Linked DNA regions of Rattus norvegicus. The protein of the gene in region 2 interacts with the protein of the main gene of each other region in a biochemical or structural test. Links are inferred from orthologs where the notes say so. Each region holds a gene or a part of one and is shown on either strand. Other genes may lie near its edges. The genes, in order: Ddit3, Cebpb, Rb1, Smad4, Kat2a, Ep300 and Cebpg.

Region 1 (4,143 bases), on a different chromosome or scaffold from region 2:
GACTTTGAGACAAGCCAGCTCTAAAACAACATTATGGGATCAGAGAAAGACATGGTCTGACAGCAAAAGCTGGTTCTGGTCAAGGCCTGGTCTAACTCTCATCCCAGCAAAGCAAGTTGAGCAGCATTAGGAGCTGACTGGGAGGGTGGCTAAGATTACCTGCTTTCAGGTGTGGTGGTGTATGAAGATGCACTTCCTTCTGGAACACTGTGGAGAAAGGGGAAGAAACAGGTCCTTTACCTCTAGCCTCTTACTGGTCTTTCTCTAGCTGGTTTCTTAATTTCTGTCATTGGATTTTGAGACAGTTTCTCTGTGAAGCCCGGGGCATCCTGGAATTCTGGAACTCAACTCTGTAGACCAGGCCACAGAGAGGCTCGTGTGTGTGTGTGTGTGTGTGTGTGTGTGTGTGTGTGTGTGTGTGTGTGTCCCTGAAGCCAAGGACAGGCATGCTTAACTTTATTTTTAGTTGCTGACATTTGTAGTCCTGATTACATAATAGCAAAGTCCTGGCCAACTAAGTTTTCTCTAAATCCAGATAGACCTCAGATCTGCCAAAGTGAGAACTAAAATACAGGGAAGAGAGATTTCAGCAGTATTTGCTTAAACTCCATTCCCATCCTAGCCTCCAGACCTGCCCTGGGATCTCCATCTCTTTTGGTTGTTGAGCAGGCATTCAGCTTACACAAAAGGCCTTTCCTACCAAGGGGGTACAGTTCTTACTAAATGGCAACTATAGGTGCCTAAAGCCAAACATTTGGTATCCTTAATTCCTCCCTTCTCAGATACCACAGCTCAGTCTAAAGCACTGGCAACTTCAATATTCTTTAGAAGTACCCAAAACCTAAATATTTCTCACTTTTTCTCATTATTTCCAGATGTAAACTTACCATGCATTATGCATTTCATTCCCTAGATTATTTTTGGAAGCCTTGAAATCTTTTTTTTTTTTTTTTTTTTTTTTTTTTTAGACAGGGTCTTGCTGTGTAGCTTTTGCTGTCCTGGAACTTACTTTGTAGACTAGCTGGCTTTGAACTCTGATCTACCTACCTTTCAAGTGCTGGGGTTAAAGGCATTTGCCATTATTTCCAGCTAAGATCTCCTGTTTCTATTCTTGTCTTTTTTATTTTCATGGCTGCGGGTTGACCTAGGGCCCTCTACATACTAGGCAAGCAGTCTACTATTGAGCTACACACTCAACCCTTTGTTTTTGTATTTATTTTGAGTTAGGATCTGACTATGCTGGCCTGGAGCTCAGAGCTCTGCCTGCTCCTACCTCTTTGAGTGTTGGAATTAAATGCATGGGGTCTTTCCCCAACCCTTTTAATTTAGGACATTCCTCTGCTCAGATCCCCCAATGGATTCCTGTTTCAGGACTGTTGAAAGACTAGCATCCTGAGAATGCTTGCAAGGCTCTACAGGACCTGCTACTTGAGTTTCCATTCACCACCCTCTCCTGCTTACTCTAGTCCAGCTCACTGCCCTGCTCCTAAGGATACTGGCACACTCATCTCAACCCTTCTGCTCCTTCTCTCCCTTCTATAAACCTCTTCCACATTACCTGCTTGGCTCACAGGCTTGCCTTCTTTCCATCTCACCCACCCACTGAGGCAATTCCTGAATGATAAAACCTCTAGCCACCATCCTGAACTATTTTTTCCCTGCTTCTGTTTTTCCCCCCTTTTGCTTTACATTGAAATGTAAGTTTTATTGAGAACAGTTTCGTCTTTTGCTTCTAATATACCCTGGATCCCCAAATGCTTGGCACATAGTGGGTGCTTATTAGGCATTTGTTAGGAACGAATAGAGAACAACTAAGCCCACTGAGCCCAAAGGCAGAGCTGAGCTGCCTGTCTCTGGGGACTGCAGACGCAATATTGCCCTGAGTGTTTCTCTGCAGGGTTGTCCTCTAGGGAAAACTCCTTGGTCTTCCAGTGTGTGGGACCTGGCTTTCATCAGCAGAGGAGCCCCAGGCCTGAGGGTGCAGAGACAAACAGTGGGCTGGCCTGATGCAACGGTTACAGAGATTAGTTGGGAGACAGGACTGAGGAAAGAAGCAGAGATCAGTCCTAAGAGAAGCAGAAGACCCTGGAGAGATCCCAAGTAATTTCCCATAGTTAAAGAGACCCAGGCTGCTCTCTTGTACGGAAACCCAGAAACCTCTGGGGAAAAGGGAAAAACCCATCTATGCTCCTCCCACCGGCACCCCCACTCGCAAAGATCTGTCAGTCTTTGAGTTGTCTTGAACGTTAGAGACAGCTACTAAAGTGGCCATGTTGGTGGTCCCTGAGGCGCTTCAGCTTGAAAGAGTTGGGGGGAATGAGGCTGGTGGAGAAGAGGTGCTAACAGCCGGAGTCCCCAACATTGGGGGGTGTGTCCTGTTGCCCCACCTTTCCTGCGAACCGCCTAGGCCTAAGATGGCCCGCAAATGGTCAGTACTGAGACAAATTTCCGAAGGCAACCGGAGTCCCTTTGCAGAGCAGGGACCAACCTGAGACAAGGGAACGGGAATGCAATCGCCCAAAGAGGTGGCCTGTAAGCACCATTCCCGAATCAGGAATTACCCGCCTTCACTCGCCCCTCAGTCTACAAACTCACAGTGGAAGGGGTGGGGCTACACCCTCAAGGACAGTTGCCTCTAACTTTGTGGAATAGCTATGTTGGCGAGGATGGGAAAGTAAGGGGTAGACGGAGTCAGTACTCGCCTCTCTCCTCAGGTTCCGGCTGTTATTTTGGCTCTGTCGCTGCCACCCGCTCATCTTCAACATGGTATGATCGACGTATTAGACTCAAGATACTGACCTCTGGAGCGGAGAGCGAGTATCTTTTATGCTATTCGGTCCCTCCTGGGGGGGGGTAGTGTCCAGGAGCCTACCAATCAGAAAGCGGCACGCTGGCACAGGCTCCGCCTCACCCCTCACGTCCGCCACTCAGGAGTCCCGTGGCCCCGCCTCCATCGCGCCCTCTGGCTCGAGAGTCTACGTTATCTCGGACCCGGAAGTGGCTTTGGGTCACGAGGCTTCGCAGAGGAGGTGAGTGAGTCATGCGCGCGCGCGGAGGAGAGTGCGGCGAGGGAGGGGATGACGTGGGGGGGGCGGAGGGGGAGCGGGGATGATGCAATGTTTGGCAACCGGTGTCCGCGCGCGCACGCGCAGGAGACGTCGATGGTGGTGGGAGGTGCTGGGGAGCGGGCGGGAGGGGGGGATGGGGGAGAGAGGAAAGAAGGCGGAGCGCCAGCTCACAGTGTCCAACGGCCCCAACGGCTGTCCTTCCTGAACTTGTCTGCCCACCTCCCATCACCTTTAACTTACTCCTCCATAAAAGACTCATTTTCCCTGGCCCCTCCCAACTAATGGGCACCGAGGCTCTTGAACCTCTTTAAAGTTTCCAATTTGTTCACCTGGATTGACATCTTCTGGAGTCTTTTAAGAGACCTCCTCCTCTTTTAGCCTTCTAACGCTTCCCAAAGACTGAGGTACTGGCATTTCCTTGGTAGTCCATCCGCTTCTCTCAGAAGGGCAGCTTTAACGTTTGTTTCAGAATCGTCCACTGCGTGCCAGAATTCAAGTTCTTTGTAGAGTGTAGCCTCCTGCCTACTTATCCTACCCCTGCTTTGTGTGATGCTCTTATGCCCTTCACTAAGCCCAATACCCACCCTTTTCCTTCTCCAAGATAGCAAGTCCTGTGACTCCCTGCTGATTAGCTGGCCTCATGCCTCTAGGTGTCTGGGTTCACGACCTAGAGACTGGGACGTGCATGCACTTGAGCGCATGATTGCCTGGACTGGGTCATTCTAGTTTAATTTGCCCAAGGAATCTACCGTACTCAGTTGTAAATTAAAGAATGATAGGTAAAGGTAAAAACAGCACTGTGAAGAAAACTTGAGTAAAAGTAAAAACATCTTGCAAAACCTATTTTTTGTGCCATGAAAACAGAGGCCATGTGGTGGCCTATTACATAGTCTGTCGTACACTCGGGAGGGGCAAGCCAGAGTTTGTCTAAGTAGAAACTGAACCAAGACCGGTTGCTATTGGATGGTGCGACAGTGACAGGTCCTTGGCCAGACTGCTCCTTCGCTCCAGACCTTCATTTCCCCTTCTGTTAGTAGAGGTTGGGGGTGGGCTGAACCAGATGGTCTCTCCTGGC
Region 2 (3,387 bases):
CCAGTCTCTCTTCCAGCTACACAGGGACATAGAAACCAAACAGACATGGGATGGGGTGGGGGGGGCGCTACACACCACCAAACACACAGTACTTTGAACACAGTGCTCACCTCCCTGATCCGGCTGTCTGGACTAGCCCTTCCTACATAGTCACTGCCTGCCTAGTCAACACAAGCCTGATACTCAAACCAAGCCCAGAGGGCGGCCCGTCCCAAGCAGGGTTTCTAGCAAGGTCCCCGGCACCCATGGGTGCTGAGTCACCCTGAATTCCTGACCCGGCACTCTGCCCCCTCTCCTGGGGGGAGGGGCTGGCATCCCATCTGCCAGGGGAGGAGAAAAACCCAGATGCGACACCCCCACCCACCACCACACACAACCCAAAAATAACCCGCAGCCCCCTACACACCAGAAACACAAAAAACAAAATCTCGCATAAATCCAAAGTCAGGAGGGAAGAAAAAAAATTTTTTTTCAAAAGCCAACTACTGCCCCCAAAAGGCTTTTTAAACATTCTCCAAAAAAGTTTATTAAAATGTCTTCACTTTAATGCTCGAAACGGAAAAGGTTCTCAAAATATACATACGCCTCTTTTCTCATAGAAATAGAACTTTTTTATATAATACAAAAAAATAATAAGACCAAAAAAAAAACAAAAAACAAAAAACAAAAACAAAAACATCAACAGCAACAACCCCGCAGGAACATCTTTAAGTGATTACTCAGGGCCCGGCTGACAGTTACACGTGTGTTGCGTCAGTCCCGTGTCCACACGCGCTCAGCCACGTTTGATCCGGATTGCATCAAGTCCCGAAACCCGGTGCGCGGTGCAGGTGCGTGCGCGCGGTGCCCACGGTGTCCCCTCGGTGCAGGTGCAGGTGCGCGCGGTGCACGCACGGTGCCCCGGGCGCGCGCGGGGACGGAGCGCGCGGGGCAGGGCGCACGGTGCCCAGGGTGGCCGCGGCGCCCCCACGCCACCCCCGCCGGGCTAGCAGTGACCCGCCGAGGCCAGCAGCGGCTCGGGCAGCTGCTTGAACAAGTTCCGCAGCGTGCTGAGCTCTCGCGACAGCTGCTCCACCTTCTTCTGCAGCCGCTCGTTCTCCGCCGTCAGCTCCAGCACCTTGTGCTGCGTCTCCAGGTTGCGCATCTTGGCCTTGTCGCGGCTCTTGCGCACCGCGATGTTGTTGCGCTCGCGCCGCATCTTGTACTCGTCGCTCAGCTTGTCCACCGCCTTCTTGGCCTTGGCCTTGGCGGGCGCGGCCGGCGGCCCCGCGAAGCAGGCGGCGGGCGCGGCCTTGGCGTCGGCGGGGCTCGGCGTCCCGGGCGGGCTGGACGACGACGACGTGGACAGGCTGCCGCTGCTGCCGCTCGGCGTCGCCTGGTAGCCCAGGTAGGCGCGCAGGGCGAACGGGAAGCCGGCCGCCATGGCGGGCGCGTCGTCCGCGCGCTTGCAGTCCGCGGGTTCGAAGCCCGGCTCGGCCTTGAGTGCGGCGGGAGGCGGCGGCGGGAAGCAGGCGGGCGGTGCGGCCTTGGCGCCCGCGCGGCCGAGGCTCACGTAACCGTAGTCGGACGGCTTCTTGCTCGGCTTGGCGCCGTAGTCGTCGGCGAAGAGGTCGGAAAGGAAGTCGTGGTGCGCGGGCGCGGGCGCGGCGAAGTCCGCGGCGGCGGGCGCGAGCGGCTCCAGGTAGGGGCTGAAGTCGATGGCGCGCTCGTGCTCGCCGATGGCCGGCTCGGCGGCGGGGGCGCGCGGCGCGGCGCGGGCCGCCTTGGCCCCGTAGGCCAGGCAGTCGGGCTCGTAGTAGAAGTTGGCCACTTCCATGGGTCTAAAGGCGGCGGGCGGCGGCGGGAGGCATGCTGCGTCCCAGGCCAGCAGGCGGTGCATGAACGCGGGGCCCGCGGGCTCCGCTGCGTCCCGGTCCCGTGCGCGGCTCGGACTCGGCTCGGCGGCGGCCGAGCGGGAGGTTTATAAGGCGGCGCCTGGCAACGGGCTGCGTCACGCCGGGGCCCCTCCCGCCGCCCCGCCGCCGGGTCGGTGCGCGTCATTGCCCGGCCGCGGGAGCGCGAGAGGGCGCGGCGGGGAGTGGGGAGCGGCGGGGGTCCGCGCGCGGGATACTGAGCGGTGTCCTGGGCGCCCCGCCAGCCCCGCGATCGCCACGGACGCGGGTGACGCTAGCCCGCCCCCTTCCCGCCCCTCGGGAACACTGAGGAGCGCTGCCGCCGCCCGCCCCCTGCTGGAGGACGCGGTGACTGGTCCGGCTCCTGTCCGCTCTCCCGGGCCCCCAACTTCTGGGAAACAGATCAGTCCACCCGGTGCACGACCCCAACCGTCGGATCCCGCCCGCTGTCCCCGGTCCCCAACTCCCTGGAAACAGCCTTCCACCCGGTGCATGTCCGCCCACCCAGGTGCTGCCCACGCCTCTGAGACCCCAACTCCTGGAAGCAGAACTCTCCACCCTGTGCACGCCCACCCCGGGGATGCTTACTGTCCCCGGATCCCAACCCTCAACCCTTTGTATGGCCCGCCCACCGCACCAGCCTACTCCACTCCCCACGCCTCTCCGCGAAGGTGGCAAGGGTGGGGGTTCTGCCACACTGTGTCTGTGGGTGAGTCACTTTGCTCCTCTGAGTTTCCTCCGTGGACAGTGTTGGTATTGTCGGTAGTGGTGTCCGGGTATCAGAGACAAATGGACCCCAAGAAAGACCCGCACAGCCCTCCCCGGAGGCTGCAGCTCCTCAGGTGGTTGCGGTGGGAACATGGCAGACCCAAGTCCAGTCGTAAGGACGCAACGGTCACCCGGAGAGCTGGAAAAACAAACTCTCCATGCACTTGAATGGGCACCAGGTTGGACCACCAGCCTCTCCCCGGTGAGACTCTTCCGAGAAGGCCCAGGACAACTTTGGGGGCCCACTCTTCTGCCACTCCCAGCCGGGCCACTCAAGCGGGAGCTGCCAACCTGCCTGGGGCTGACCCCCGACCCATTGACCCCAGGCCTGGCCCCGGCAAGCTGGCGGGGTGTTGCTCAACCTTCGGTGTTATCTGCTGAGCTGGGGTGACCTCCGCCCCCAAGAGCTGGAGAAATGACATCTCCCTGTGCCCTTGGGGGTGGGGGGCAGGGAGGGAAAGGATAAGACACTAGCCCTGCCTGCGGCTTTCTGGCCTTCCCAGCAGCCTCTGGGCCAGGAAGGGATCAGGGCCCAGAGAGGCGTGGTGACATCCCCAGGGCCACCCAGCCAGGCCTGGCTATAAAGTGGGACATTGGGGCTTCACTGACAGGCCTTCCCTCATCCAACACTGGTGACTGTTCTTTCTGCCTCTAGGCCACCATTCACACCATTGCCCTCCTTCCCTCAGTTTCCCCTCAGACTGGGCTCCAGAAAGGCAGTGCTCCC
Region 3 (4,187 bases), on a different chromosome or scaffold from region 2:
TAAAATAAATAACACCTCAGCTGTCAAAGTAGACTTATTCGAAGTGGACTGGGCTGAATCCATCCCTAAGCTATTTTCTAAGCTTTAGTCTGAGGCAGTCCTCTTATCCTTGCTAAGAACAGTCATGCGCTACATGACGTTTCGGTCAATAAGGCAGTTTGCAACAATAGTCCTGTAAGATTATAATGGCATAGAAACATCACTTAGAGGCCATCTTAACCAGCTTAACATTGTGGCACAATCCATTTGCTACTTGTGCAGTCACTTTGCTGCTGCAAACAAGTCTACTACCCTGCCACTTGTAGGAAAGAATAATATATACAAGGACATTCAGGATACAGTACTGGAAGTGATTACGTTACTGGCTTGTATGTCTACTAAACTATAGCTTTATCATTGTTTTACAGCGTATTTCTATCATTAAAAACTAAAGTTTACTGCACAACAGTATGTTTTGTTACACTGGCAGCAGCCTTGTATATATAGTGTTTACAGCCTCTCTTGATTGCAGCAAGACAGCAACAGTGAATGATCTATATATCACTGGGGTTTAAGTGCATTCTGCAGTGATCACACAAAATTAAGTTAATGGCACAGTTCAGAAAAGGTAGCAAATTCCTATGATGAAACACATGTAACTATGGGTAATTCAGATATCAACTGTAAGTGCTTTTGAGAACCTCTGTGGTAATGAGTAACCAAGATGAAACTATGTCTGGTATAGTTTAAGCTCAACGGAGAACTTTTGAGAATTCCCCAAAGTTAAAAGTATATTCAAGAGAAAGAAATTGGGTCTGTCTCTCCCCAAGCAATGGCCAGAACGTCAATGTGTATGTTCACTCTATAGTAATCAACAATATGTCCAAAGCTGTGTAGATGGCATGGAATCTTTAGAATACAGGATACTGCTTTTTCTAAAAGGGAAACCTCCACACACTGGATACATCAGAGTTTAATTGGAAACAAAAGCAAACTCTTTCCCTGGAACAGTCTCCAAACATAGTTTTTATTCTATATTTATTTTCTAAGAACATGATTTTTATTTGATCCACAAGAAAATCCATTTAATATGAATTTTAATAGACTTAGACAAGCAATTTCCAAAATCATTTCAGTCCCTTAGGATTTGACCTTAACTCGGTTAAGAGTCTGGGTCACACAAGGAGACTTGATGCTCAATGGGAAGAAAGGAGCTTGATTGTGCATCAGGGTGCTGAGTGCCTACAATTCCAGAACTTGGGAAGCTGAGGCAGAATAGAAAGCTCAGGGCAAGCCTGGGTTACAGAGTCAGAGTACTTAAAAAAAATAAAGTCAGGGACTTAATGATGGGCTAGAAATGGAAGGATGGTGAGAGACAAAACAATTCCCATACTACAATACAATGGATCTATACTCTCAAAATAAAACTACTGTTGGCGATAACAACAATCATATTGTTTCAATTTCTGTTACTTAATCAAACAGTAGCACAGTCAAGAAAAATAAAATGTTGAAATACAATAAATATCTCTCCGTTGTTCTTATTGGATCCACATGAACTTAAGTTTAGATTCCATTTAATAAATGGAGAGAAAGGTTCTTTGAGACAACATAGTACCAAAGAACAAAAAGGGGAGTGGGATGGGGGGTGGGGACAGGCACCTTTTGCTCAAAGGCAAAAGGCAAGAAATAATGAAGCATGCTGCGGGCCAATCAGCACGCAAGAAGAGCTCTACCCTGAAAAAAAGGGAACAAAGTTTAGAAACTTTCAAGCCCTTGCATTTAAATGTCTCCTGAAACTTTTGCCCACATACCAGTTCTTCTATGCTCCACCAGTCTCCACAGATGGCTTTAAATCCCCGGGGCCTCAAAGCATTGTTCTAAAGAAACCCCCACAAAGCCCGGGAGCTGAGGACCCCGTGAGCAATTGACACCCACGACCCTGCGCTTCGCCTACAAGGCTTTTCTTGGCCTCTCCCAGGACCAAGCTGCCAATGCAGCGCAAACTCAGTGGGAAAGGCTCCCAACTGTTGCATCGCCGGACTGCAAAACAGAAAGTCAACCCACCCCGGGGGTGCTCCGGATCTCCACGGAAGAAAAAAAAAGGAGGAAGAAAGAAGACAAACATCGGTCGACTTTTTTTTTGTTTTAATATTTATTTCAATTGTTTTTGCGTCTGACCGGGGCTCTCCAGGACCCGCCGGCTCCGCGCCTGGGCGTCGCTGGAGTAGAGCCTGCACCTGTCACTTCGCTCGGGAGCAGGAGCCCCACCCGCCCGACACCTGTCAAGCCGCAGTCCAGACCCCTTCGGGATGCCCTCCCCGTCGCCCGCGAGCCCAGGACCGTGTCACCGCGCCGCCGCCGTCCCGCGGAGGTGGGGGACCGAGGGGACTCCGGGGACCCCGGGCGCCGCTCCTATCGCTTGCCCGGCCCCGCCGAGATGCGCCCGGCGTCCCCGCCAAGATGCGCCCCGCGTCCCCGCGCCCTTCCCTTCCCTTCTCTCCGGCCCGCGGCGGCCGCGCTCCTCACCTGATCAGGGGCAGCTCTTCGGGGTCACTGTCCTGCGCGGGGTCGTCCTCCGGAGGCGGCGGCGGCGGCGGCGGGGGCTCGGCGGCCGCGGTTCTGCGCGGGGCTTTGGGCGGCATGACGCGCTGCGCGGGCCGGCGCGAGCAGGCGAGGGAGGCGCGCGGGGAGGCGGGCGCGCGCGCACGCCGGGCACGCCCCGTCCTCACCCGACTCCCGTTACAAAAATAATGGGAACGTCCCCTGAGGAAAACCGGACGCGCCCGGCAACCGAGCGCCGGGCCAACCGCGGGAAAACGTCACTTCCGCCCGCGGCGTCACGTCCGCGAGGCTCGCGGGCCGCGGGCGTCAGTGGGGAACCGGGGCGGCGGTGGCGGCGGCGGCGGGCGAGAGCGAGGGCGCGGGCGGGAAGCCGCAGGGAAGCCGCGCCTGCCCGGGCTTGTCTCCGCCCGCGTCGTCCCCGTGGGCGGCGCCAGCCGAGGCGGGGCGGGCCGGCTCCTAGGAGCCGCGGCCTCTGGGAGAACGCTGGACAGGGCGCGCCCCTCGACCGGCCCGCGCGGCCGGCAAAACAAAAACAAACGTGCCCGGCCAGTGGGAGGTGGGCTCGGCCGGGGTGGGCGGTCCAGGGTGGGGCCATTACTGGCCTTCTGGAGACGAGGGTAGATAGTCGATGTACAGAGTGAAGTGTGGAGTAAGTCTTTTGATGTGGAAACTGGAGGCGCGGTCCAAGCCCGACAGATCTTAACGGGAAAGGATCTTTTGAAAATCAGCTTGCCAGGCGGACCCAACTTTGAAAAATCGTTTACAAAATCGTTTGAAAAGAAAGCAGAAACCAGTTTGCCGTGTTAATGCGCGCGATCCAGCCCCCTTTCATAATTGTTTCTCAGAGACAGCCGGTCAAACTGGGGAGGCCAGCATTCCACTTTGCGTGTTGGAAATGGGAGTTCGGAGAGTTGATTACCTGTGTCACATAGCCGGTCGGTGGCAGAGGACTCAAACCCAAGTAATATTTGGTGACTCACCATATCACCAACGCACAGACACGGGGAAAGAGCACACTAGAACTACCGCCACCAAAAGCTGGCTCAGCAACTATCTTTTCTAGTTACAGTTTTTACGCGTCAGTCAACGTAATTTTCTCTCTTTGCCAGTCCTTATTGGTGGTTGCCACACAACTCCCTAACTGAGGTGCAGTGAATAAAAAGCAGTTGTTGTTCCGGTGTAAACTATCTTGGAACAGCTGAGCAAAAGCTGAGGAAGCAGGAACTTCATTGGGTAGGTTGCAAACCTGGGCTTATTCTCTGCCTTGACATGTGTGAAGGATACACAGACCTCCTTCAATTGTCAGTCCTGCCTAACTTCAGAAGCCTGTGAAGCAAATGTTAGTCAGGAGGTTGAGCCCAGGCCCTGATGCAGCCACCGAGAATGTATGGAATTAAAATAGCAGTTGAGTTCACCTTGTCCCAGATTTAGGCAAGAGCTTAGGTTACATGCAGTCTAGGTTTGAGGAAGATACAGGATAGACTGCAGGGGGCCTGAAAAAAATGACAGTCCTGCCTCAAAATTATCAGAGAATGTGACACTTGCTAACTGATGCCCCTGTGGTAATTTGTGGCAAGCTGCAAAAGAACCTGGGCCCTCAGACATGTAACAGAGCGGGTGATTGGTCATCTCTGCTGGTACTG
Region 4 (3,500 bases), on a different chromosome or scaffold from region 2:
CAGATCTGAATGTGAGCCTATAAATCTGGTATGAGCATATGAATATACTCCTGAACCACAAACACCGCAAAGACACTGAAGAAAACACAACAGAGTGGCTGACCTTCTAAAGAATATGTAGGTAAGGCACTGGCAGTGCACACCTTTAATCCAGTACTCCGGAGGCAGAGACAGGAGGATCTCTGGGAATTAAGGTAGCCTGGTCTAAATAGTAAGTTTCCAGGACAGCCAGAGCTACATGGTGGGGAGAAGACCATATCTATTCTACCTGTCCAATAAGGAAAGAAGATGTGACGCTGGTTACCGTGCATGAGTGTGGCTAGCATCAGGTAGCGTCGGTGGCACTGACAGGGGAGGGAAGGACACAGTTGAACGTTTCTTGCCTTGACCCTAACGTCTTCGCGTCTCTCTGACTCTGGATCTCTACTGCTGTGGGAACACACCGTGACCAAACAGCTTGGGGGAAAAGGGTTACTTCATCTTACAACAGCCTCAAGCTGCCTTCCATCCCTGAGCAAAGTCAAGGCAGAGCTTAGGTCAGGAACTGAAACAGAGCCCATGGAGGAGCCCTGCTAACTGGCTTGCTCCTCTTACAGCAACCAGAACCACCGACCCGACCCAGTAATGGCAGTGCTCAGAGTGAGCTGTGTCCGCCCATATCAATCATCAGGCAAAGCCCGAGCCCTGACCTACGGACTTCACTAGAAGGATAACTGCAGAACTGCAGCCAGGTGGACAAAGTCCCTTCACCCTTCAGGATGCATTGGCCACTTCTGTGATCTACTGAACAAGAGGTAGCCATGCCAGCACAGGTGCACAGAGGTATCCTCACGTACTGAATATTGTTCTCTAAAAGCAGGGGCTACTGTGAGAAGACAAAGCCAATCACTGCCATCACTTACTGCACTATGCATTCCACTCGTGTTACGTCTCTCTTCAGAACTGTTCCATCCCCTACTGAGCTACATATGAAACACTAAGTTATCCTTTAACTCATAGCCATATTTTGAAAGTCTTTATTAGACACACAGTTGTCCTGCGTCCTGTAGAGCCAGACGCCAAAACCTGCAGTTGTTCAAGTCTCTTACGTAAAATGATGCTTTGTTTGCAAATAATATACTAAAAGGCATGTGTAAATCATAGGAGAATAGATACCACATGGTCTTACATAAAGGGCTTGAGTAGTCTTAGAACTGGGTATCTGAGGGGCATCCAGGACCAGAACTCTGTGACTACAGAGAGGCAACTAGCTGTAAGTGTATCTTCCTGAGTGAAGAATGAGAAAAACTCCGGTTCCTATTGTCTGTGCCTTTGACATCTCAAGGTTTCAGGGTTTTCTGTGCTCAAAGTCTGTGTCTACCACATGGCCCCGGGAGTCACACCCAGTCCCATCAGACTTGGCAGCAAGCCCCTTCACCTACTGACCCACATCGCTGGCCTCCCCCTGGGTTTTAAGCCACACTTCGGAAGCTACTCTACTGCCGCTCAGTTTCCCTCTGCTGCGTATTTATGTATTCAATGCCAAAACCTGGCAATTCTATACATAATACCTGTTTTTAAAAGGTTTTTACGTTTCTTTCAGACAGTTAAAAACTATAGTCTATAACCATCACCTGCTCTTAAACTGCTGATTAAGTCAGTGATTATTACCCTGTCTGAGTCTAGTTACCCTGTAAATAATCCACCGGCATTCCCACACCAGTTATTCTAATAAATGTACATACGGGAAATCAATATTGAAATGCACTTACCAGGATGATTGGAAATGGGAGGCTGGAATGCAAGCTCATTGTGAACCGGCCCTAAAAAAAATAATAAAAACCCCATTTTATTTATTAAAAGTTTTCTAGTACTAAAACTTTTAATAAACCTTAAATACAAATATCATAAGCCTTAAAATTTATTTAAATCATTTATGCCAAGAATTTAAAAGTTTATTTCCTGAATTATTTTGTGAGATTAACAGCTAACCTCTTAGTGTTATCTGACAAATTCTATTTAACAATTTACCAGTTATACATGCAATATTTAATACAGATTATAAATTATTTATATAACAATAGTATAATTAATAATGCAATGTATAGTAATTTAAATTGCTAACCTTTCTAAAAATCAATGCTTATATTAAGTTAGGGGCATTTATATAATAGAACAGTAGCAATCATAATTGAAAGCTTACTTATCAACACACGGTGCTAAAAACTTCACAGAATTACTATACTCACTTTTTACAATATTGCTTCAAGCAGATAAAATTACAACCCTTGAGGCTTAGTAAGTTTAAACAAGTGACCAGCAATCATAGAGCAAACCCAGTAATTGTACACACTGGTCCAGGCAGCCATTAGAAATCACACTCTCCGAACACACGGGAAGGTAGTAATGTAACTGGTATGTAACAATAAGCATACATACATATCACACACACTCACTTATGTGACTGGAAGGAGAGAACACTAGAAGTATCCTCTAGTGTTATTATTTATGCCTTTTGTACTTTCCAATATTTTTGTATTATTAATCTTAAAATGAGAGGAAAAGTGGTATGTAAGACTTACATTCCTCACTTTTTACTTCATCCCTATACTTGTGATTTTTAAAGTCAAATGAACAGTGTTTCTATTCTACTGAAGCTGGACTGTCTGTAGGGTGTTGTCCCAAGACGCCTGTATGAAAAGGACACCTACACAGATCCAACATCTAAGATCTCTTGTATCTACTGCAGTGATTCTGTGGTGAGGGGAACCTTGAGATCGTAGTACTCAAGGCTTACGTCGACTGTGGGTGGGTACACATACAAGACCTAAAACATAAAGCAAACAAATGCATGGAGGTCGATGTAGTGTCGATGAGCCGTCAGCGACAGTGAGATGATGAACAGCGTGCAAAACAGACGTGTGACAATTAAGAACTGCTTACAAAAATACTGCGAAAGGAAAAAGCACTAATCATTTAACAAAATTAAATTGTAAGATGAATAAACGATGCAAAACCATTTTTAAGAAAATAGAAATCAAAGTACTAGCTAGAAAAGAAAAAGGCCCTGCGTACAATGAAAACAAGAGCTTACAGTAATGTCCAGGATGGGGCGGCATAGGCGGGTGGTGCTGAAGATGGCCGTTTTGGTGGTGAGGCAAATTAGGTGTGTATGGTGCAGTCCTACTTCCAGTCCAGGTGGTAGTGCTGTCTAAAAATTAAGGCCCATATGCATTAATTTGCTTTTATAACGGCTGCCTCTTTTTCTCAACTCTGAAAAGATTTAAAAGGCGTGTACATACTATGGTGGTAAGTAGCTGGCTGAGCAGTGAATCCATTCTGCTGCTGTCCTGGCTGAGGCCCTGAAGCTATCTGCAACAGTCCTTCACTATGGCTGCCTGCCAGAATGCTGGCCGGCTGACCTAGAGAGACAAGAAGACGTTAACACAGCACATGTGGAGATGCGGGTCTATGCTTTTATACAAAGACGAAGGTCTGATTATATCTGATGATCCACAATT
Region 5 (2,725 bases), on a different chromosome or scaffold from region 2:
GCCCTGTGGGGGAGACGGAGCAGGGAGGTCAGGTGGCCAGCAGAGGATCAGAGTTTGCGGAGAGAAAGTAAAGGGTTTCTAGATGCTCCTCTCTCAGGGCCAGATTCCAGGTTGATTCTTCAAAGACCCATTTGCCAGTTAGCCCATGACTAGGTCAAAAGCCCCATTTCGCAGGAAAAACACCAAAAAGACCCTGATAAGTCAGGTTGTGTATGAAGAACAGTCTGAGGTCAGTGGACCACGGACGCAGCAGAGCTGGGCTCCAACCCAACACGGCTGGGGTTTCAGAATAAAGGGGAAGAACAGAAAGGGGTCACAGAGGCCCGCTCATGTCAGGACCATACAGACAATGCACACAACTCGGGAGAACGAAAAGCCCAAAAGTAATTTGTTGCCAAAAGAGACAGAAGCTGGGACTATCAACTCCCCAAGGCATGCAAACCTTCCTGCCAAGAAACAAAGGTTCACTTGGAAAGTGTTGCTGCCGTGGGGTAGAGCTCAGTTAGCAGAACACTTACTCAGAGTGCGCAAAGACCTGAGTTCGATCCCTGGCAATGGATAAGACCTGGTGTGGGGGTACACACCTGTGATCCCAGTAATCTGGAGGCAGGGAGAAGTGGATCACAAGTCTAAGGTACCCCTGGACTACACAGTGTGCTTAAGGCTGGACTTGGCTATATGGGCCCTTCTCTGAAACAAAAAGTCCCTAAGGTTAACATAAAAATGCTGATTACTGGGGCTGGAGAGATGGCTCAGCGGTTAAGAGCACTGATTGCTCTTCCAGAGGTCCTGAGTTCAATTCCCAGCAACCACAGGGTGGCTCACAACCATCTGTAATGGGATCTGATGCCCTTTTCTGATGTGTCTGAAGATAGCTACGGTGTACTCATATATAATAAATTCTTTTTTTTTTTTTAAAGATTTATTTATTTATTATAAAAAAAAAAAAACAAAAGATCGTTGGGAGCAGAACTTAGTGGTAGAATATTTGCCTGGTGTACACAGGGCCCTGCATTCCATCCTGCATCAGAAAAGAAAAAAAAATCATTGCTGATTTGGGTACTTTTTGTTTGTGTTTTCAAAACAGGGTTCCTCTGCACACCCTGGCTGTCCTGTAACTCAAACTGTAGACCAGGAAGGCCTTGCCTCTGCCTCTTCCTCCCGAGTGCTGGGATCAAAAGTATGTACTACCCTACCCTGCTGATTTTTATCATATCTGTATTTTATTATTATTTATCATTTTATTTAATGTGGGTGATGAGGATCAAGCGAAGGCCTTCGCATTTACGCTTTACCAGAGAACCATCTCCCCGGCCCTCAGAATGACATCCACTGTTTTGCTGTTGCTAGAGAGGCTTTCTCTGTGTTTCCGGCTGTCCTGGAACTCACACTGTAGACCAGGTTAGCTTCGAACTCAGAGAGACCCTCCTGTCTCTGCCTCTCCAGTGCTGGGATTAAAGGCCTGCATCACCACTGCCCAGTGTTTTCTCAATGATCAGTTATCAAGGTGAAGCTGCCACCCTGAGGGAGTATGTGGAAAGTCTGCTTGATACAGCAAGGGCTGGGGCACAGATATCCTGCCATTTCGGCTGGCTTGCTCCATATTCGGAGGCAGGTGGTAGAACGGGGTCATGGTCAGGGGCACTGTGCTCACCTTGACCTGCTCATTTGAGGTGACAGCACAGAAGACGATTTCCGTGAAGCCCTGGGTGGGAAACATGCGGAAGCAAATCCCACCGATGACCCGCCCATCCTTGATCAAGGCCAGGGTCTTATGCTTCCTAAGAGAGAGGGGACATGTCACGGGACTCACCTGTCCTCTCCTTGCTCCCCAGGTCCCTCAGCCACGAAAGGGTGAAGTGTCATCGGGGATAAGAACAGAGGAAAGGTGGAGCCTTACAATTAGGAGAGTGTCCAGTGGAGAGGGATGGGGAAGTCAAGGTGCTCTGGGGCTGGGGTGCCCAGGGACTCACGGGTCAAAGACGAGGCGGGCAATATATTCCTTGGGCATTCGTGGCAGCTGGTGGGAGAAGACGTTCTGCAGCCCCACAAGCCACAGCAGCACACGCCGGTTGGCCTTGGGCGTCAGAGAGTTGCCAATGACGTGGAATTCGATGATCCCTCGACGCTCTTCCAGGCGAGCTGTTTCATCTCGAGCTGCGTTGGCTGAAAGCAGGCTCGTCTAGGCAGAAGAGGGGTGGTGAGCAAGGGCCTCAGGAGGTTGGGGATTCCTTTCCCCACAGGTCAGCAGGTTGGGATGCCTACCTCGGGCCCCAGCATGGCAGCAGGGTCGGTGATGGTCAGCATGACCTCGTTGACCAGCTCCATGGGAATGTCGCCCATCACTCGGAGCCGCTTAGCATCCTCCAGAGTCAGGTTCTCAGGAAGCTTCCTCTTCTCTCCTGCTGGGGGGGATGACAGGGTCACCCTGGGATAGCAGGAAATGTGGAGGGGAGGGTGAATGGCGGTCAGCAGTCAAGTGCCCACCTGGCATGGGCTCTGTCCCTGTGGAATCTAGGCTCAGGGAGCTGTTGCTGCCTCCGCCCATGGAAGGACTGAAGATGGGAGTGCTGGGTACAACTGTTGCACTGACAGTCGCTGCAAGAGAGAAGAAATCAAGGATGAGGGAGTGGACGGTGTGGCTAGAGGACCTGGCAGGGCCTGCAGCCCCATCTGAGCCCCAAGGTGCCTTCCCACTGCTATCATACCCCACCACTGTTATCCC
Region 6 (4,256 bases), on a different chromosome or scaffold from region 2:
CTTTTTTTTTAAACCATGAGTTAGCCAAAAGCTATACAATTTAGCAAAATACATAAATCAGACCAAGAATGCAATAGTCCACCTGAACAGAAAGGTATGAACAGACTTTAAGATTGAATCACTCAAATCAGAACATCAAAAATTTTCATTTTAAAAAGTTTTCCATACAATATTTCATGTTACTGGTTATGTCAAATTTGGCAACTTGTGAACATATTACAGAAGTACATTTATTATGAGGGTAGGGAATGAAACAAAAATGCAAAGCGAATGTGTCTATAAAATTAATGTCTATGCCTATGAATTTTAAAGACATACTTTTAAAAAATTTCTTTAAGACCTCAGAAACTTTACAGCTGAAATGCTCACATATAACTAAAGTTAGAGCCTTAGAACATTGCCAGACTCATCCTCCTTCCCAACTGTTGCAGCTAGCAAAACTCATGGTTCACAATACAGCTGCTAAAAAAGCAGAGTAAAGCACTAGTTCTATCTTATTTTCATGCCTTCGTCATAAATCCTACTGAGAAACATGGCCCACACGTTCTCTACAACTCGCAGGATACATTTAACTCCATTATACACTCCGCGGGCAGATCGAAGATGTTGAGCCTGTTCTCTGAGTTCAAGAGATGCTTGTAGTAAGGGGGAACATCTTGTGGACTGTCAGATGACCAGTCATTATTCTTCATCATCCTGGCCTCTCAAACAAGTCAGACAGCAAGAGGACCAGGTCGGTGATCATCAGAATAACACTAAACTAACAGTAAGTAGAAAAAAGAACAGACGGTGGAAAGTCTCCCTGCAGGTCTCCTAACAAAGGGGCTGACTGAAGAAAAGAATTCCTTGATCTTGAAAACTGAAATTGCAAAGGTCCAAAAAGTAAATCAAAATAAGCATACAAGCACAAAACCTACTGTACATTTTCAAACTTGTACAGTCACTTTAGTTGGAAGTTCATGACTGGGACTCTTTCAACTTCTTATCTCCATTTCTAAGTACCTAATTCCAGAAAGGCTTCATCTTTTCTCTTTCCCTTCTAAATAAGAAGGGTGACAACAAACTGCAAGGGAAATGCCTCAGGTCTCCTCACCTGATCAAACACCCAGTTTGAGACATTTTGGTTTCACACCAAATAGATATAAAATAAACTGCGGTCCATACTGATTCTTGAGCCAAGGATGGAGAGGGGACTTAAAAAACAGTATTTTGTTGAACTTTACGTTACACTTAAAACCTTGTACTGCACACACCAAGATTTGTCTTCCACCCCCATTCCTTAACAGAAAATCTGCTTCACAGGAGTAAAAACCTTTAAAGGTGGAAAAGCAGAGGGAAAAGAATTAAGTGCAACAGGGGAGAAAGATTTGAAAACCTCATTCGCCAGTAACAAAAAATAGTAAAAGTGCATAAAAGCCCTTACACACAACTGTACCGGCATTTCCCAAATTAAATTGCATGGAGCCGACAATAAAGGTCCATGCAGCTCCCACTTCCAAGCTCTTAATTCCAGAACACACAACCATCTGACATGACATAGTGTTGCAATGAATGTATCAGAAGGCAAAGAAAATGGTTGGGCTGCTGGACGTCTTCAACCAGTCCATTCAAAATCCTTTAAAATTAAACACCGGCCGGAGAAATAGGAAGAGATACACAGAAATACCCTAGAATGAAGGTGCAACCAGCAGAAAAGACGAAGGGAACTATGGAAGGCCGGGAGTCCCGAGACTAACCTGTGCCATCGCTGGCGGACGCCGAGAGGGCCGGAGATGAGAGTTTAGGCCGCTTGGCTGAAGGCGGCCCGGGTTCCACCACATTCTCGGCCATTTTTAATTCTTTCGGAGATACAACCGAGGAAAAAAAACGAGAATCCTGAGGAAATCTCTTCTTCGAAACGGGGTCCCCGCCCCGCTCCTAAGGGTGGGCTCCGGAGCTCCGCCGCCACCCAAGAGGGGTGGGGGAAGTTCCTTTTTCTCTTCGCCTGGTTGCGGTGGCCGGAGAGGGATGCGGACTCAACAGAAATGGTAGGGGCAAGTGCGAGGGGCCGGGCCTAAACCAGGCCGGGAGGAGGGTACAGCAACACTGATCCCACGAGCACGTCCGCTGCAGCGAATTCTCGGGAACTCACAGCTCTACAGACGCAGTCCCCAGCCCGCCACAGCGAGTCCCTGCCCAGCCGAGGTCTCTCGGAGCTCCGCCGCCGCCATCAGCCTCTTCCTCCTCGGCGCTGTCCTCCTCCTTCTCATCGCCACAAGGAGGCGGGGGCGAAAAAAGGGGGAGAGGAGGAGGCGACCAGAGACACTCACCTCCTCCCGGTGCCCCCTCCCGGGCTTGCGCCCCCACCCTGCGAGCCCTCCTCCTCCTCCTGCCGCTGCGCTCTGCGCCGCTGCTGCCGCACCGGCCCCTAATGGCCGCACTGAGCTCACCCGAGCCGAGAGCCAGACTGGCGCCGGAGCCACCTCACATCGCGCAGCGGACAGCGGAGGCGCGGCGACGAAGCCGAGCGTGGAGCTCGCCGGCCCGAAGGGCCAGGGGGGCCGGGCCGAGCAGGGCGGCCCGCCCGCAAGCCCGCGCCGACGCCAAGCCCACCGACGCGGCCTCTCCGCGCGCCGCGCTCTCCGCCTCCACTCGCAAGCCCGTGGAGGAGAAATAAGTACGGCCGCCTCTCTGGCCCTCACGCCCGGCAGCCAGGTGCTGGGAGCTCCCGCCCCCCCCCGGGGGCTCGGCTCGGGGGCCGCCCTGGACGGCGGGCGAAGGCGCCGCGGGGCGCGGGGTTATGTAATGGTCCCCCCTTAGGCGTCGACGCCGGCCCGGGCTGCAGTGGGGGTGTGTGCGGGCAGGAGGGGGCTAGGGGTCGCCTCAGCCTTTGCGCCCCGGGCCCCCAACCACTGTCTCGGTCGCGGCCGCTGCTCTCCGGCCTGGTACCCCCCGCACTCCCTGCTCGCGCAGTTCGCACTCAGCCGGGCGTCCCGCTTGCCCCACTCTCGCCCGGTCCCTCTCGCTCTCTCCTCCCCCCACCCCCCCACAGGCTAGCACACAAACAAGATGGCGGCTGTTGTTTCTTGCCTCTGCCGAATCCTCCTTACAGGATAGCGGTAGCGGCGGCGGCCGGAAATGAGCCAAGATGGGGGGGCGGGGGAGTGGAGAGGGGAGGGGCCGAGGAACCGGGGGCGGGGCGAGGGCGGGGCCTCCTCCTTGCAGCTCACACAATGGGGGAAGCGGCGCCTGGGGGCGGTGCCGGCTCCAATCACGGGATCCGCCCAAGGGCCCAACGCGGTAGGCGCTTCCGCAAACTCCCCCGGCGTCATTCGGTGGCTCCCTTTAAAGGGGAGGTCTTGAAAGAGGGGGGCTCCGGCGTAGACTTAGAACGTATTTTCGGTCGGTGGACACTTAGGTTCCTGGGCTGGGTCTTTGCGCAGAATGTAGTCGGAGCTCTGGCGCTCCTCTGTGAAAATGAGCAGAAACAAGTTGGAGCGCCCGGGTTTTGCCCTCTCCGGTTGATCTTTGGAACTCCATTAAATCCGCCAAGCACCTGTGTGTTCAGGATAGAAACATTCCACACTCTTCATCGCCTTTTCGAAAGGAGCAGTTCATTTCTCAAAGTCACATTGCTAGTCCTTTAAGTTTCCTCTTGAAATGTCTGATTCAAAAACGAAAAATTTGGACTAGGATAATATTGTTAGAAAAATGGGGTGGGGAGGAACCACAGCAGTGGGAGGCTGTTTAGGACTAGACCGTACATGCATTTTTTTTTTTTTTTTTTTTTTTTTTGCCTATTATGTGTCTACACATCCTTACCAGCAACCACTCTTAGAAAAAGAATCCTTGAGAATATTTTTCTGGACCTGCCTGAAACTTCCAAGGTCTTTTGAAGGTATTTCCACCCATCTCTAACAGATGAACTTAATAAAAGAGCACTTTCTGCAGTGCCTTAAATATAAATATGGGAGAGGACAAAAAAATGTCAGGTGCTAAAAATCCATAACTCTAGAAAAGAGTGAGGAAATGCTCCTAAGAAGCTAGTGTTAGAGCAGTCCAATTCGAAGCAAAAAAGTAGGGAGCATGCTTTTAGGGTTCTCAAATTACTGGATTTCTGTGTTTGGGACCCTCAAATATAGGGAAAGTACCAAGGCTGTATGTGACACTGAAGGAAAACTTCCAAGATATTACCTACTGGATGGGTAGTAGGCTTGCCTATTCTTCCTGTGGCCTGAAAAGTTCAGTCACCAGTACTACCAAGAAAATAAAATTTT
Region 7 (4,026 bases), on a different chromosome or scaffold from region 2:
GAGTAAAACTTTCTTCAAATGCAAATTTATTAACTAAAGTAATAATGTTCATTCAAAAGAATAAAACAATGAAACTCTGGAATGTTAGAATAGTAAAATAGAACTTGTCTAAATTTTTACTTGGAACAATAAACCTGTACAGAACTTCCCTAGCTTGTCACTTTTTTCCATAAACCTAGATAGAACCATGTATCCCTCCATTAGCCCCCCAAAATCAAATCTTCACTCAATTTCCTTAATGAAGGTTGAGTCTTCAGGTTTACAAACAAAAATATCCCACATCTCTTGTCGTTCCTAATGCCACAGAAATTACCTCAGGTTGACATCATCTCCCAGGAGCCCTAGCCTCTGGTGTAGCAGCCTGAGCTCCCTCCAAGCACCCACTATCTAGATTATCTAGAGCAATAGTTAACCTTCTTGATGTTTTGACCCTTTAATACAGGTTCTTCATGCTGTGGCAACCCCCAGCCATAGTTATTTTCGTTGCTACTACATAGCTGTAATTTTGCTATGGTTATGAATCATGATATAAATATCTGTTTTCGGATGGTCTTAGGTGACCCCTATAAAAGGATCAGTCATTTGACCTCAAAGAGTTTGGTACCTGCAAGTCAAGCAGTCTTCCATTCAAACCTAACAATGTCACATCTTGCTACTAAAAATCAATGTCTGTGACTACAGGATCAAAGCCAAGATCCTAACCCTCTCTACAAGTTCTGCTCCCTAAAGCATTCTAAATGGTCTCTGTTTTCTCTTTGTGCCTTTTGTTCAATCTGCTCCCCCAGTCTCTTTGGCAATCCCAGCTCCCTGGAGACTGTAGGAGGCAGAGTCCATGAAGGAGAGGAGACTCCTTCAAGGAGTTCAGTGTAAGTGGTCCACTGGAGTTGTGAAGAAAACATAAGCTTGTTTGGATGTTATCCTTTACATCTATTTATAGTACTATTTAGCACATTCAAAAATACATTGTTTATAACTATATTTATTAGGAGTTCCTGTTCACTTTTTTCCCTCTCTTTAATGGCAGGGCACAGCAATGGACTAGAGAGAGGACCAATAAACTTGCTAGTGTAAGAACCTATGCAACCACCCCTCTGAGGGAAACCTAAAATTGCTACAGTACTCATTATTGTGACTGTGGCAACTGTCAACCAGGTCCTGTGTGTCTTCCCATGATCTCAGAAGGGAATGCTCCCAGGGACTTTCCTAGGGAGCATTTAATTCGCTAGGGATGAAAGGACCTCTCCAAGATCACAGAGCTGGCTGGCAATCATGACGTGGTGTGAGAATTTAAAGGATATTGGGGGAGGGGGAGGGAAGTCTGCTCCCACCTATTTGTTTCTGATAGGTCATAAAAATAACTGAGTCAGTCGGGCATGCCCATCGGACTCAGGAAACAGACTCAAGTATTTCTTCAGCTCAGTAGCGTCCTGCCATTATCTACAGTTTTTCAGGAACAGGTAAGAACCGCAGGGATAGCTTATTAATACTACTCAAATGACAACAGCTGAACGGACCTTAGAGCGCTCTGAAGGCTAGGGATGCGGCTCAGAGGTAGAGTGGCTTGCCTACCATGCTCTGAATTCTTCTATGTTGAATTTCTCAGTAAAGACGGGGTGCTTTATTTCAAAATTTCCTCTGTGAGACAGGTATGCATTCAATGATAATATATTCAAGTAAGGATTCAAGCGGGTGGAAACTCCAGAGACACAGGCCCCAGCTGTTGTGCAACTCACAAAGGTTAAAACCTTTCTAAATTTGATACATCTTATGAGGCGGCTTACAAAGAAACAAACAAAATACAACAAAGAGCAGAGCAAATCTAAGCATGCCAGCCTTCTTAAGACCAGAAATACACAAGCGCACTTAGAAAGAGAAACAATCCTCACGCACGCCGCCCAACTTCTCCACCTGTATTCGTCTGCTGGCTCTTTTCCCGAGTTCCCTCCAGGCGAGCTAAGGAAAGGCTTCATGGCTTGACCTTCTGCGTCTAGTGAACCGGTGCGCTATCTAGGATGTCCTTCCCCTCCCAATGAACTACAAGACACGCGGCCGCGTCCCAAAAAACAAACGAAATCTCCCTCTTGCAGCGCTAAGTGTTTAAAAAATCAAGTGCCTTCCCTAGATGACCACTAGGTTATTAACTCCAAATAGGACCCGGGCCCTCCTCCCCCAGACCGAGCCGTTTGGGAAGCGACAGAAGAGTCCTAGGTGGCTCCAAAGTAAGATTCGGTCCATCTTCTATTCTAGAAACACTCTCCATTCCCAGGGGCCAATGCGCGCCAGGCTTGTCACGCTGCACGTCGCCGGGGAGCAGGTTCTGGAGGGGCCACCTGGTACTCCATCCCTTCCCCGACTGTGGTGAGGGGGCGCCTGGGGGAGCGCGGGGGTCGGCGCCCTGCGCGGCGGCGCTGGGCCGCGGCCAGGGATGAGCTCAGCCCCGCCGGGTGTTGCCCGCAGGTTGCATCAGACGCCGCTCCCGGTCCCCGCCCGCGCCGCCAAGCCGCCGGGGGCCTTCCGGGCCAACCTGCTGAATCCGGCAGGGCCGGGTCTCCTCGAGCCCGGCCGGTGCCTACGCGAGCGGCGGGCTCCGCTGCGGCCTCCTCCCCCAACCCCTCCGAGCTAGAACCCGCGGCCTCCTTACCTGCGCCTCCGGCCGGCCCGCCCGCCCCCAGACGGCCTCCACTCCGAGCGGCCCCGCGCGGCGCGGTCCGACCCTACCCAGGCCTCGCAGCCTGCGAGTCGGCGAGGAGGAGCGACGGTTACGAAACCGGCAGCCTCCGCCCGTTCCGCCACCGCGGCCACCGGCTTTCCCCTCCTCTTCGGGTCCGCGCGCTGCCGCCGCAGCCGTGACCAATAGAAGCGCTGCTCGGAGAACGACGCGCTCGCTTCTCAAGACCGGCAGCTCCACCAGCCAATCACAGCCAGGGTGGCAGCAAGAGGCGGACTTACGGCGGAGCGGGCGTGGTGGGCGTGGTAGCACCGGCGCTGGCTGGAGGCGCGCTCCGCGGTTTCCCCCTTAGGCTGTCCGTGGTGGCGGGCGGCGGCCCTGAGCGATGGGAGTGACCGGTAGCGAGAAAAGTTCTGTCATAGTAATGAGAGTCTCACCTGCCTTAGGGAAATGGCATTTCCTCGGGTGGATTTTTGAGTTAGTGATTTTGATTTTTTTTGTTTTGTTTAGGCCTCGCGGCCCTAGGGCGTCTGCAAACTTCATTTTGACAAAAGCACGTTAAGGAAAAACTGTCCAGTGCTAGGGTTAGCACTTGTCACACTCTTGAGAACAGTAGACTGTGGCTCTCAGACAAATCACGATTTCCAAAGTGTGCTCGTCTCTGTGAGAGCGGATGATGGACCTGAGGTGCTGTCTTAAAAGTGACAAGCAGTCCAGCCTGGTTCTCCCAAACAGTTCACAAAAGAATCAAAAAGCTGGTTTTGTTGGGTTTTGTTTGTTTGTTTGTTTGTTTTTGTTTTTTGAAGTACAGGAAGCAGCGTGCTGGGTGGAGGGCAGAGCCTGAGAGATAGGTTTGATTGCTTCCTCTTTAGCAATGCTTATCATTCAAAACTCACTGGCTTTCAAAAAGAAATGTTTCTTCATCCGCGCCAAGGCCAGGAGAGCAGCTCTCCACTTAAGACTTCCAGGAATCCCTGAGAGATGAGAATACCTACAAAAAAAGAAAAAAACAAAAAAAACAAAAAAACAAAAAACAAAAAACAAAAAACAGGCAAACACAGAGAATGACTCCTGATAACCCTATGCACATTTGGGGAGCTGTCTCAAAACCAGTATGTTTCTTTAGGTTTGGATCGCTGTGTTAAGAGCCATTTTTTTTTTCATGACTCTTAGCACTATCAAAGATGAACTGTGCTTTGTTTCTCACAAAATAATCATGATCTTATCCCTAATATTTTCTAATCATATAAAAACTATAGAAAATAAAAATATCCTTGTATGTCATATGTACATTGAGGTAGACTCTCTTTTTGCCAGCTACCCTCCCTGACAGCTGCATTCTGTGTTGGTTCTTGGCA

What was found.
Region 1: the proteins of Cebpb (region 2) and Ddit3 form a complex in vitro, tested with the Homo sapiens proteins (2 studies listed by BioGRID and IntAct, with this or other methods). The link is inferred for Rattus norvegicus from reciprocal best matches to the Homo sapiens genes CEBPB and DDIT3.
Region 3: the proteins of Cebpb (region 2) and Rb1 form a complex in vitro, tested with the Homo sapiens proteins (2 studies listed by BioGRID, with this or other methods). The link is inferred for Rattus norvegicus from reciprocal best matches to the Homo sapiens genes CEBPB and RB1.
Region 4: the proteins of Cebpb (region 2) and Smad4 form a complex in vitro, tested with the Homo sapiens proteins (2 studies listed by BioGRID and IntAct). The link is inferred for Rattus norvegicus from reciprocal best matches to the Homo sapiens genes CEBPB and SMAD4.
Region 5: the proteins of Cebpb (region 2) and Kat2a form a complex in vitro, tested with the Homo sapiens proteins (2 studies listed by BioGRID, with this or other methods). The link is inferred for Rattus norvegicus from reciprocal best matches to the Homo sapiens genes CEBPB and KAT2A.
Region 6: the proteins of Cebpb (region 2) and Ep300 form a complex in vitro, tested with the Homo sapiens proteins (2 studies listed by BioGRID). The link is inferred for Rattus norvegicus from reciprocal best matches to the Homo sapiens genes CEBPB and EP300.
Region 7: the proteins of Cebpb (region 2) and Cebpg form a complex in vitro, tested with the Homo sapiens proteins (2 studies listed by BioGRID and IntAct, with this or other methods). The link is inferred for Rattus norvegicus from reciprocal best matches to the Homo sapiens genes CEBPB and CEBPG.

Annotation. Positions count from the first base shown.
Region 1 is NC_086025.1:65,000,352-65,004,494, reverse strand, and holds the start of Ddit3 (DNA damage-inducible transcript 3 protein), read right to left. Parts: upstream 2,801-4,143; 5' UTR 2,766-2,800; coding exon of another isoform or gene 2,703-2,765; intron 208-2,702; coding exon of another isoform or gene 166-207; 5' UTR 160-165; intron 1-159. Other genes in the region: uncharacterized LOC128125814 homolog, read right to left, coding at 166-207, 2,703-2,765. UniProt on the Homo sapiens protein: Multifunctional transcription factor in endoplasmic reticulum (ER) stress response. Plays an essential role in the response to a wide variety of cell stresses and induces cell cycle arrest and apoptosis in response to ER stress.
Region 2 is NC_086021.1:176,815,550-176,818,936, reverse strand, and holds Cebpb (CCAAT/enhancer-binding protein beta), read right to left. Parts: upstream 1,933-3,387; 5' UTR 1,880-1,932; coding exon 986-1,879; 3' UTR 501-985; downstream 1-500. UniProt on the Homo sapiens protein: Important transcription factor regulating the expression of genes involved in immune and inflammatory responses. Also plays a significant role in adipogenesis, as well as in the gluconeogenic pathway, liver regeneration, and hematopoiesis.
Region 3 is NC_086033.1:54,909,058-54,913,244, forward strand, and holds the start of Rb1 (retinoblastoma-associated protein), read right to left. Parts: upstream 2,801-4,187; 5' UTR 2,625-2,800; coding exon 2,509-2,624; intron 1-2,508. UniProt on the Homo sapiens protein: Tumor suppressor that is a key regulator of the G1/S transition of the cell cycle. The hypophosphorylated form binds transcription regulators of the E2F family, preventing transcription of E2F-responsive genes.
Region 4 is NC_086036.1:69,532,685-69,536,184, forward strand, and holds part of Smad4 (mothers against decapentaplegic homolog 4), read right to left. Parts: intron 3,402-3,500; coding exon 3,282-3,401; intron 3,191-3,281; coding exon 3,074-3,190; intron 1,803-3,073; coding exon 1,752-1,802; intron 1-1,751. UniProt on the Homo sapiens protein: In muscle physiology, plays a central role in the balance between atrophy and hypertrophy. When recruited by MSTN, promotes atrophy response via phosphorylated SMAD2/4.
Region 5 is NC_086028.1:86,134,761-86,137,485, forward strand, and holds part of Kat2a (histone acetyltransferase KAT2A), read right to left. Parts: intron 2,599-2,725; coding exon 2,488-2,598; intron 2,406-2,487; coding exon of another isoform or gene 2,403-2,405; coding exon 2,266-2,402; intron 2,183-2,265; coding exon 1,974-2,182; intron 1,782-1,973; coding exon 1,655-1,781; intron 4-1,654; coding exon 1-3. UniProt on the Homo sapiens protein: Protein lysine acyltransferase that can act as a acetyltransferase, glutaryltransferase, succinyltransferase or malonyltransferase, depending on the context.
Region 6 is NC_086025.1:114,986,401-114,990,656, reverse strand, and holds the start of Ep300 (histone acetyltransferase p300), read right to left. Parts: upstream 2,801-4,256; 5' UTR 1,831-2,800; coding exon 1,737-1,830; intron 1-1,736. UniProt on the Homo sapiens protein: Functions as a histone acetyltransferase and regulates transcription via chromatin remodeling. Acetylates all four core histones in nucleosomes. Histone acetylation gives an epigenetic tag for transcriptional activation.
Region 7 is NC_086019.1:96,826,937-96,830,962, forward strand, and holds the start of Cebpg (CCAAT/enhancer-binding protein gamma), read right to left. Parts: upstream 2,801-4,026; 5' UTR 2,642-2,800; intron 2,609-2,641; exon of another isoform or gene 1,909-2,608; intron 1-1,908. UniProt on the Homo sapiens protein: Transcription factor that binds to the promoter and the enhancer regions of target genes. Binds to the enhancer element PRE-I (positive regulatory element-I) of the IL-4 gene. Binds to the promoter and the enhancer of the immunoglobulin heavy chain.